Linked DNA regions of Sus scrofa. The protein of the gene in region 1 interacts with the protein of each later gene in a biochemical or structural test. Links are inferred from orthologs where the notes say so. Each region holds a gene or a part of one and is shown on either strand. Other genes may lie near its edges. The genes, in order: WDR5, CHD8 and KMT2C.

Region 1 (3,745 bases):
TACGCAGATGCTATGCAAGCAAGACCCACTGCAGAGAAGGGGGAAAGAGGCAGCTCAATTAGGTTTCAGCATGAAAACGGGAACCACTCAAAAGCTGCACAGTACAACTGGCTTCCTCTGTCACAAGAATGGATTCTGCCACTGGGATACTTGGCACAGAAACACACCAGGTGATTCTGAAACAAGGGCAAGCATTATTCCAGAGCCGCCCAGACATCCCGCAAGTCCCACTGGCCAGCCACCTCCCGGAAGCTGGCACCACTGTTAACCTGCTGGGTTCACAAGCTGTACATTCTAGCTTGGCGCCTCAAACTGGAAGCTTGCACAGGTTTCTCGTCACACTGAGGCGGAGCAGGAGCCATCACCAAGAGCAAGTCCCAAACTCTCCCTCCAAGAAGATGGGAGAGAAAGGTCAACGCAACCCAGCTGTGCAGAGTGGCCAGAGCTGTGCGGAGGGGAAACAGCTGGTCACCTGAGCAAGGCTCCCTGCGCAGGGATGGAGCCTGCAGCACCCAAAGCTCAAGTACTGGGCTGGGGGAGGGCAAGGAAGGGGCAGGTCAGCAGATGTGTGGGGGCAAAGTGCTGGCACAGAGCTGGGGCTCAGGAAGCACTCGCCGCTTGTGACTGTCGTTAGTGCAAGCAGGCCGTGCCAATTAGCCCGGCACTGCCTGCCCTTTGCTGGGCTGGACAAGTGGGCCGAAGAGTCCTCTGCACAGAACTGAGCATCGGAGGCAATGAGACCAAGGCCAAGAGCTGCGAGAAGGCCCCCCCTCCCCCGAGCTAAACACGTGCAGGAACAGAAGAGGCTCTGTCTGGGGTGCGAAAGGGAGCACAGAGGCTTGAGACCCACCAGGAGGTGGGGCGAACTGGCTGCCTTCAGGTGAGGAGCGGGGGATCCAATAGGGGGACAGAAAAAGTGCCCCAGCCCTGCCCCACTCCTCAGCTAGCAACACCTTAACGTACAGAAATCAACCTTTAGAAATACGATTTCTGGACACCTTGTTTGGAGCCAGCCTCCCCAGCACCTGCGACTTGCTCCTTCTTGGCTCCCAGGTGAGTCTGACCACCTAAGGCTGAGCCTCCCAAACTTCAGAGTGCTCGCCTGGACTGCCTCGAAATGCAGATGCCTGGGCGCCACCCCAGAGACTGGGGCCAAGGTGTGGCGAGACAGGAGGTAACTGGCCCGCACAGAGTGAGGAGACTCGCTGCTCACCACCCCACCTGAAATCTCAGACATACCTGGGGTCCAGCTTACCCAGCTGCCTCTACCAACCGGGCCAACCTCAGGGGAGAGTGTCTAACTCAGTACTTGCCAGACGGGGGCTAAGGGACCTGAGCGGGTAGAAGCGGGACCAGAAGGCACCAGGAATGATCTTCCACATCCCCCAAAGTGGCCCTCGCGAGCCAGACTGGAAGGGGTCCGAGGCTCCACCGCAGGGCGTGGTGGGCCTTCCCTTCGTGACGGCAGCCCCGCAGCCCCGGAACCCCGAACTCTCAGGGAGCAATGGGGCCTGGGGCTGCCTCGGGCTGGGAGTACAGAGCGGGCTGAGGTGGGGGCGTCCCTGCAGCAGAGGAAGGCAGACAGCGCGCCACATCCAGGCACTGGATGGCTCTGGGGTCTGGGGTGCTTCTCTGGAGGCAAAGGGGTCATGCACGCCGGCTCCAGAAGGAAGTCGCAGTCCCGGGGCTGGGGGCTCGTCACCTGACCGCTGGGGGCGGGAGAAGCTGGGGGTCCCAGGGGCTCCGCGGCGGTCCGTGCGAGTCCGTTTGCGGAGGGGGCTGGGCGCTCGGCGGGGAAAAGGGCAGCCAAGCTCGCGCCCCGGAGGCGAAGCGGCGGGCGCGGGGCGTCTGCGCCGGGAGGCCCGGCGGGGCTGAACCCGGGCCGGGGCCGGGCCCGCCAGAACACGTGCCGCGACGGACGGCGCGGGGTGCGCCGGCGTCGACCCCCAGCCCGCGTCCCCCCGAAGCGTGTCCGCCGGCCGGGCGGCCCCAGCTTACCTGCCGGGCGGCGAGGGGCTGAGGACGGGCGCTCCGGGCGTCGCGTCTGCCGCCGCCTGGGCGGGAGCCGGGCCGAGCTCGACTAGGCGGCGCGGCGAGCGGCAATGCGCGTGCGCGGGGGCGGGGCGAGAGGGCGGGGCAAACGCACAAAGCCGGCCTCTCGGAGGGGAGCTACGGGGAGCGGCGAGGAGCAAAACGCCTCGGCTCGGCTCAACGCCTTAAAGGGACAGTGTGCTCCTGCTTAAAGGCGTTAACCCGGGAGGTGACAGGTTCCGGCGGTCCTTCTGCGGCGGCGCCCCAGGGAGGAGTGGAGTTCCGCCGCCGTGGAATTCAAGCGGCGGCGGGGCCCCAACCTTTCTTCTGACTTGGGGCATCTGCGGGGTCGCCGCCCTCCATCGTCGCGCACACTAGAGGGCGGCGCTCTGGGCAGAGCCCTGGGCTGAGCGTCTTCATCAATGTTTGGGACGTCCCGGTACAGAGGCCCTCACCTTCCAACTGTGAAGCGAGGAATCTGAGCTCCGAAGTGTTCAGAATGCCCTCTCCCGGGGCTGCGTCCTCTGCACTCTGCCCATCAACTCCCGCGCAGGGCCGGCGGAGGGGTCTGCCCGCCTCTCGCCTCTCGGTGCAGGGAGCCCACCGGGCGCACCTGCCCTCTCCTGAGCCCCCAACGCCGAGGTACGAATAGTCACCGCGTGCAGGCTGCTCTGCTGCCTGCAGGGTGATGGCCCAGACAGGTATTATAACTTCCATCTGCAAGTGGGGAGGGGAGGCCCAGAGAGGGACGGCTCAGGGGCACAAGGAGATCCTGGAGCCTGGGTTCTCACCCCAAATCCTGCACATTCTCATCTCACTGCCCCACTTCTGCTACCCACGTGGGTCTTAGAGTCGTGGAGGTGGTCGTGGGCTAGGCAGCCTCACGGCCCCAACCCAGGCCCGTGGGTAGAGTAACACAGTTTATTTCCCAATTAAAAATGGGAACACTTAGGAGTTCCCTGGTGGCCTAGCGGTTAGGGCCTCAGCGTTGTCACTGCTGTGGCGAGGGTTGGATCCCTGCCCTGAGAACTTTTGCATGCCATGGCTCGGCCAAATTAAAAAGGGGGGGGGGCGCCGAACATGACACAGGAACCTGTGCAAACAAGGACAGAGCATTTGAAGTGGAAAGCCTCAGGGAATACTAGTGTGGTTGTCACAGATACAGGAGACAAGGCTGGCAGCTGGCCCAAGATCCCTTCCAAGGAGAACGCAGGGGCCGCAAAATCCCTGTCTGGCCCTGCAGGACTGGGAGTGGATCTCTGTGCCCAGGAGGCCTCATCGCCTTGGGTCAGGTGTCCTGGAGCAGGAGACGGTGACCACCAAAGGTGACCAAGCCAGCTCAGGATGAAGAAGAGTATCTGCATCCACCTGCTGCCTGGCCCCAAGCACAGCCCGTTTCATCTCTGTTGATACACCCCATCACCGCTCCCATAGTTCTCACAGGCAGCCATCCTCTTCTCACCACGCCTACCCCAGTCCGGCCTCCCTGCGGGCCTTTTCCAAACCTCTCTGAAGCAGAAAGGACTTCGAAACCCCCAGCGCTGACCCGTCATTCCCCAAGTCGAGACGCAGAGCTGGCTCCCCATTGCCCTGAGTTCCAACTCCATCTCTGCCCCGGGGCATTTGCCAGACAGGCCGCCCACCCCCGCTGTAGCCTAGCACCACCCCCAAACGGTGCAACCAGCTTCCAGCCCCCAGTCGAAAGGACTTCCTG
Region 2 (3,645 bases), on another chromosome or scaffold:
GTGGACAGGAGTTACCATCATGGCTCAGCGGTAATGAACCCAACCAGGATCCATGAGGACGCGGGTTTGATCCCTGGCCTTGCTCAGTGGGTTAAGGATACAGCGTTGCTGTGAGCTGTGGTGTAGTTTGCAGACTCAGCTCAGACCCCACGTGGTTGTGGCCTGGATGGCGCTGCAACTCCAATTTGACCCCTAGACTGGGAACTTCCATATGCCACAAGTTCAGCCCTAAAAAAAAAAAAGAAATGGACAGAGACACCTGAGTGATCTTGACAGATAGAAGCTTCAAAGCTTGTAGGTGTAAGAGCCCCCAAAGGGAGTTAATTTCTTTTTTAATTTTAGTTTTGAAGCAGAAATATGGATGTTCTTTCTGTTGTGTCTCCATCCTCAGATGACCTTGCGTTTCCATCTTCTCTCATTATGTTGATGCTATTTTATATTAAGGGTAGTACCTAAGAAGGAGAACTTTTCCCTGAGATCACCTACTTTGCTTATTTGTCATTTGTCTTCCTACAACAGGAGTTCCACCATCTTCCTCTGAAGACCTAGCCATCTTGCTCTATGAAGGTCAGGACAATCTGACATGCACTTGTTTCTTGCCTCTTTATGTGAAGAGTAGTCCTCTTCCATTGTGTACATTTTTTTCTTAATAGGGGAGGGGAGGGGAGAGCCAGTACCCCCCCTCCCCTTCCCTCCCTAGACCTTGGGGAAGTACCCCCATTACTTTCCCAAGATGGCAGACCCCATCATGGATCTGTTTGATGACCCAAATTTATTTGGCCTGGACTCTCTGACTGATGACAGCTTCAATCAAGTCACGCAAGATCCTATTGAGGAAGCTCTTGGACTGCCAAGCTCTCTGGACTCCTTGGATCAGATGAACCAGGATGGTGGAGGTGGTGATGTGGGGAATTCATCAGCAAGTGACTTGGTCCCCCCACCAGAGGAAACAACCCCCACAGAACTTCCCAAAGAATCAGCAGCTCCAGCTCCAGAATCTTTAACCTTGCATGATTATACCACTCAGCCTGTCAGCCAAGAGCAGCCAGCCCAACCTGTCTTACAGACACCGACGCCAACATCAGGACTTTTGCAGGTCTCCAAGAGCCAGGAGATCTTGAGCCAAGGGAATCCTTTCATGGGTGTCTCTGCCACAGCTGTCTCCTCCAGTAGTGCTGGAGGGCAACCATCTCAGTCAGCCCCTAAGATTGTTATTCTTAAGGCCCCACCAAGCTCCTCAGTCACTGGTGCCCATGTGGCACAAATTCAGGCCCAAGGTATCACCAGCACAGCTCAGCCCCTCGTGGCAGGCACAGCCAATGGTGGAAAAGTCACTTTTACCAAAGTGCTAACCGGCACTCCCCTTCGACCTGGTGTTTCCATTGTCTCTGGTAATACAGTGTTGGCTGCCAAGGTCCCTGGGAACCAGGCTACTGTTCAGCGCATTGTCCAGCCCAGCCGACCAGTAAAGCAGCTGGTTCTACAGCCAGTTAAGGGTTCAGCTCCTGCTGGAAACCCTGGGGCCACAGGGCCCCCACTGAAGCCTGCAGTTACACTGACCTCTACACCTACCCAGGTGACTTGAGTGAAAGGGGGCGGTGAATTTTGGTTTAGTAGAGGGCCCAGCAACTGTGAGAGCAAACACAGGAGAGATGTCTCTAGGAAATCGTGTTTAAATTCTTTTTATCAGTAGTATTGACAGCCACATGTTTATTACTTACTAGAAGAAAGTAGTTAGTGTTAACATATTTTTTGAGCTCTTACTACATTTACACTGTGCCTAGCTGGTACTGAACAAGATAGACACAGTCCCTGTCGTTACAGAGCTCACAGTCTGCCAGGAAATTACAGACCTTAAATGAGAACTCACAATAAAGTATGATGTAAAGTTGTATGAGAAATGTAAGGATGCCATTGGAACAAAATGGTTTTTGAAAAATATATTTATATTTGCAAGACTTATGGAAGCTATGTATCTTTCCTCTGTTCTTATTATTAAGATCATCCTTCTGTGATTTTGCCCAGGAAAAGGCTAGTTTCTATTGTAAGAAAATTGAGGCTCTGGCCAGAAGAGTTTGAGGAGAGAAGAGGGCAGTATTCAGATAAGTAGGGCTGGTGGAGAGAAACTGTAAGAAGATAGATTTTAGTTCACTATAAAGACTTTATTCTAAGAGAGTTCCAAAAAATGGAATGACTGCCTTAGAGGATAGTGAGCCTCCCATCAGTTTTTCAAGACTAGGCTTGATACCCACTGGGCAGAGCTGTTACAGAAAAGATTTTTATCTGGACAGATAGGAGGATGAATAAACGAATTGTATTGTGTCTTCTGACCCCCAGTTTTTATTTCTAGGATAAGGAAAACTGGTGTAAATATTCAGAGGTCTACCATTCTTAATGTTGTACCTCTCTTGCAATTTCCTTTCTTTGCTCTAGGGTGAATCAAAACGCATCACGCTGGTCCTCCAGCAGCCACAGTCTGGAGGTCCCCAAGGACACCGGCATGTCGTGCTAGGGAGTCTACCAGGCAAGATAGTGTTACAGGGCAACCAGCTAGCAGCCCTGACTCAAGCCAAGAATGCCCAGGGGCAGCCTGCCAAAGTAGTAACTATCCAGCTGCAGGTGCAGCAGCCGCAGCAGAAAATCCAGATTGTACCACAGCCTCCATCATCACAGCCACAACCCCAGCAGCCACCCTCAACCCAGCCAGTGGCTCTCTCCTCTGTGCAACAGGCTCAGATAATGGGACCAGGACAGGGCCCAGGACAAAGACTTTCAGTACCACTCAAGGTGGTGCTGCAGCCACAGGTGAGACTTACAGAGTTAAGAAGGAAAACAAGTCTCTTAGTCCCTTGCTCTTACCCTCAGTGACCACTCATTGTTGAATGTGGGGCCAGTCTAGATTCCTACCTCTGAAATGAGATGCAGACTTTTATTTCTTTCACCCATGGAAATTTTGTTTTAATTATGTCATGAAAAGATTTGAGGGTTATTTTTGGGTTTAGAATAAGAGATGATTTGTCTAGTACTTGTTGAACTTTTCATTTACAATCTTTTCCTAATGTTCTCGTGAATAAAAATGACAAAATATCATCCTGCTTGAAAGATAAAGACTCTTAAAGGGTCAAATGATTATCATTCCTCTCGCCCCGAGGGAGATACAGGTAGGCCAAGAATAGATCTGAATTTTTTTCCTTTTAGCCTAGAGGCCAGTGTTGGCAATATTGTTTGAAATTTGGGGGGATTATAGAGATGGGTATTGACATTAGAAGCATGGCTAAAGGATATCGAAGGTTAATTTGACACAGATTTCTCGCCTTTTCTCATCCCCTTCCCACCATAAAACAGTTTTCTTCTTTTTTTTTTTCTTTAAATGTGTCTCTAGGTTCAGTAGGAGTTGGTCAGAGTTTGGTTCTTGAGTAATTAGAGAGTTAAAATTTCTAGCCTGCCTGCTTCAGAGCTCTTTTATTCAGGTCATTTCACTACAAGAATGTTGAAATTTTAGTGTCTTTATTTCTATAGGCCGGCTCTTCCCAAGGGGCATCTTCTGGGCTCTCTGTAGTTAAAGTTCTAAGTGCCAGTGAAGTGGCAGCTCTGTCCTCACCAGCAAGCTCTACCCCTCATACTGGGGGCAAGACGGGAATTGAA
Region 3 (3,645 bases), on another chromosome or scaffold:
AAGAGGGAGCGCGGCAGGCCCGGGGCCAAGAGGAAAGTGTACGGGCTCAGACCCCAGAGCACGAGGCCCCCTCAGAGCACATCCTCCGTGTGGCCGAGAAGCCAGAGAGGGAGGAGCAGGGGAAAAAAACCCATGTGACAGAAGCAGCCCGAGGCTGAGAACTCCCCCTCCAACAGGAGCAACTCTCGGGGAGGTTCAGGGATGAGCACTGGGAAGCTGCGGGGCTACAAGAGCAGGTGAGGGCAGCAGGGGGCCACCCCACACGGGTGAGTGCGGAGATGGGGCAGCAGGGTGAGGGCAGGCCAGTCAGGCAGACACACAGGAACGGACGTGGCCCAGGAGAGAGGAAACGGCGAGGGGAGCGAGGGGAGCGGGAGCACTGCTGCAGGAGGAGGGGAGAGGAGCACCGGCCAAGCCGCCTGCCCGCCACGGTGAGAAGCGAGCAGCAGGTGGGGCGCAGGAGAGCAAGAGGGGCCCCGGCGTCGGGGATGGGCGCGCACCCCCGCGCCTCCGGGCTGACAGCTGGATAGAACGGAAAGCTCAGGCAGGCCCATGAGACACAACACCCAGAGCGTTAATCCACCAAGACTCCGCGCCAACACGTTCCCTGGACGTGTTCAAAATTAAGGTGAGATTTTAAAGAGAATAAGCTTAACTTTGGAATCAAGAATGAATCTGGGGTTACCGAAATGTAAACCAGCTCACCGTTGCTCGCTGGAGGAAAAGGCACATTAGGCTGCTTCAGGTGGTAAGAGCTGGCTAATCTGGGAGGGTTTGCAGGTCCTGGTGGAGGCCCACGAAGAAATAAGCGCTGTCGATACTCCAAACCTGGGTTTACTCTGTGGCTACTGACCACACCCACGGATGGACCATCTGGGGCATTACTAACCTCATAGCTGTTAGGAATTCGGACGTGGAGAAGGTCGGAAAACGCAGCCACAACACTGCTAATGTTCTAAAACAAAATTGCAAACGCGGTGTTACCCACCCAGACAGCGACCACGAACCACGGAAGGTCGCCTGCGGGACACACGCAGGCTGCAAATCCAGTGACGTTCTTCAGACTAAGAGGGGATTACGATGGGCCCGACCCAAACAAAGCCTCGGCGGACAGGAGTCCTCATCCCGGCAACCGTCGGTGCCAAGTATCCGAAGAGCAGTAAACTCTCGCAGACACTGAAGACACGGAACGAGCCAAACCGTGTCCCCGATGGTACAGCTGGTCGTCGCCTTCTCCAAGGGGCCTCTGCCCAGCTCTGGACAAACAGTCCAGGAGCCCACGCTACTGCTACGTTCTGCTGACAACGGCAACACCCCATCACTGGACTATGAGCTTGGCCACCACCATCTTCAAGAATTGAGTTAAAAAAAAAAAAAATCCCAGCCATGGGCTAGTGTTTGGCATGAGCTGCTGTTCAACATTCATCCCCCTTCTGGAAAACTTCCCTCGCTGACCAAGTTCTTTTTCACTGCTTTAATTTTCTCTGTGCAGACAGTTATCAAAGGGTTTCTCCTTCTCTAAAGAGTTCCCTGCCATACACACCCTTGAATAAAAAAGGCAACTCTCACTCTTTGCCCTTTGCCCTGATGTGGACCCATCTGTCTGATGCTTGGTCACAGCTGTGGCGGCAGCAGACGTCCGAAGTGACCCCCCGAGCCTACCCAAACTTGAATCTTTCATCCGCAACGACCCTGCTGTGCGTGCCACTGACACACCCTAAAAATGGGGACATATCCCATAACGTCAAAAAGCCATTTCCTCTTTACCTCAGCAGCTGTCGGATGCAGAGTAATTGCCACAGATATGAGACCCGATCTGGGACCATTTGGGGAGGAACCAAACGGTGATGTGAAAAATAAAGTGCCTGGTTCAGTTTTGATGTCATTCCTTCTAGATTCCAAACCTTAAAAGAAGAAGGATTAACTGCGTGTTAACCATGTTTCAAAACACGAACGGGCGCGGCCCGGCAGAGGCAGACAGCAACTGGGTGGTGAGGCCCGGCCCTACCTTTCCCGGGATGGCTGGGAAGGATCGGGATGATGGGGGATGGCACCGGCTCCGGAGGCTCCTCTTTGACCAGTGACAGATCCGGGTACCTGCTGACTTCCATCCCGACCACGCTCTCCGGAGAGGATGAAGGAACAAAGCTGTCAGGGGTGTCCCGACCACCACCGTGGTCCTGGATCCTAAGAGACAGGCAAACACAGTGCGCGTCAGCCGCGCACACCCAGCCCTGGGTGCTTCCCACACCAACCCGGCCCCCGCTATGTGCGTGACCTCTGCACAACAACAGCAGCCCAAGGAGCCAAGGATTGGGGCCAACCAGGAAATCTCTTGGGGAAAAAAAACAACAAATGTGTTTAACTATAAGGTAATCTCAATGGTAAGTTTCCTTCTGACTAAAGCTTTAGCATCCGAGTGTAAAGACCTGCCAAAGAAGGAAGATGATTGATGGGATCACTATGCGGCATGGAAAGGATGGATGCTCACACCTCGGCCAAGTTCCAGATCACTGAGCCTAGGGCACCCTCCTGCAGCTGGGAAAGAAAGAGCCGGCCCCCATCCGCAGTCCCACGCGCACAGAGCTCTCCGGGCTGCCGCTCACGGACAGCGGCAAGGCTATCCCTCGTGACCTCACAGGCCTTTGTTTTCAAAACGATGAAGTAAGGTGAAAAAAGAGGGGGTCCAGGCCCAGAAGCTAGAGGTTGCCAAGGCAGCTGGGCTAAATGTTGTAGCGCAGCCCAGGAACCTGGGTCCCGCGCTCCTCCCCGGAAGAGAGGCCGTCCTGCTGAAGGCTGCTGAGAGAAGCGGCAAGAGAGGCTTCCAGGGCGTCCCTGTAAAACCCAGCAGTGGGCACTCAACACGCACGCCCAGAGGCCACCTCCCGTCCCGCGGCTGCTCCTGAGTCACCCAGCTGGCACCAATCTAGCCGCCGGGTACAGGAGAGAGAGAGACCTGCTCCTCACTCCTCCTCCCCGCAGAGTTCTCTCATTAATACAGTACAGAGACTTCGTCCAAAGGACAGCGCATCAAAGGGGGGGGGCACCAGATTCTCTGAGGAAGAGAGTCACTTGATGAGGCCTGTAAGAGCCGCTCCTGGACCTGACCAGCCGGTGTGATTATCTACTAGGGGATGCTCTTCTCCCCATTCCGAATCTTGGGCTCCAGAACTGACACCAAGAGCATGGTGGTACCCGCCATCTCTTCCGCAAAAGCACTCACCGATCTCCCTGACTGCTGCCCTTTGAATCTGGCATCTGCAACCATCAGTAAACCCAGGAAACCAAAAGAACAGCTTATAAAGGACAATGATCTTTGGGGTTTTTTGCTTCTCATTTTTGGCCGAGCCTGAGGCAAGCACAAGTTCCCAGGCCAGGGATCCAAACAGAGCCACAGTAATGACAACGCAGGATTCCCTAACTGCTAGGCCACCAAGAACTCTCGACAATAATCTTTGAAATATTTTGCATGGAGAGTCCCACTGCCTTAATGTTCGATTACTATTCTGTTGAACTTCCTATATAAGATTTTTTAAACACACAAATAAATTATATTCAACAGCGTGTTTCATGAACTTTAAATTCTAAGGAAAATCATTCACCAAATTTTACCTTTCAAGTGTTTGCTATTCCTACAAACATTAT

What was found.
Region 2: the proteins of WDR5 (region 1) and CHD8 form a complex in vitro, tested with the Homo sapiens proteins (2 studies listed by BioGRID). The link is inferred for Sus scrofa from reciprocal best matches to the Homo sapiens genes WDR5 and CHD8.
Region 3: the proteins of WDR5 (region 1) and KMT2C form a complex in vitro, tested with the Homo sapiens proteins (4 studies listed by BioGRID, with this or other methods). The link is inferred for Sus scrofa from reciprocal best matches to the Homo sapiens genes WDR5 and KMT2C.

Annotation. Positions count from the first base shown.
Region 1 is NC_010443.5:273,558,648-273,562,392, reverse strand, and holds the start of WDR5 (WD repeat-containing protein 5), read right to left. Parts: upstream 2,115-3,745; 5' UTR 1,999-2,114; intron 1-1,998.
Region 2 is NC_010449.5:77,739,843-77,743,487, forward strand, and holds part of CHD8 (chromodomain-helicase-DNA-binding protein 8), read left to right. Parts: intron 1-519; 5' UTR 520-561; coding exon of another isoform or gene 562-567; 5' UTR 568-733; coding exon 734-1,576; intron 1,577-2,433; coding exon 2,434-2,805; intron 2,806-3,519; coding exon 3,520-3,645. UniProt on the Homo sapiens protein: ATP-dependent chromatin-remodeling factor, it slides nucleosomes along DNA; nucleosome sliding requires ATP. Acts as a transcription repressor by remodeling chromatin structure and recruiting histone H1 to target genes.
Region 3 is NC_010460.4:5,262,163-5,265,807, reverse strand, and holds part of KMT2C (histone-lysine N-methyltransferase 2C), read right to left. Parts: intron 2,188-3,645; coding exon 2,009-2,187; intron 1,905-2,008; coding exon 1,768-1,904; intron 956-1,767; coding exon 706-955; intron 1-705. UniProt on the Homo sapiens protein: Histone methyltransferase that catalyzes methyl group transfer from S-adenosyl-L-methionine to the epsilon-amino group of 'Lys-4' of histone H3 (H3K4).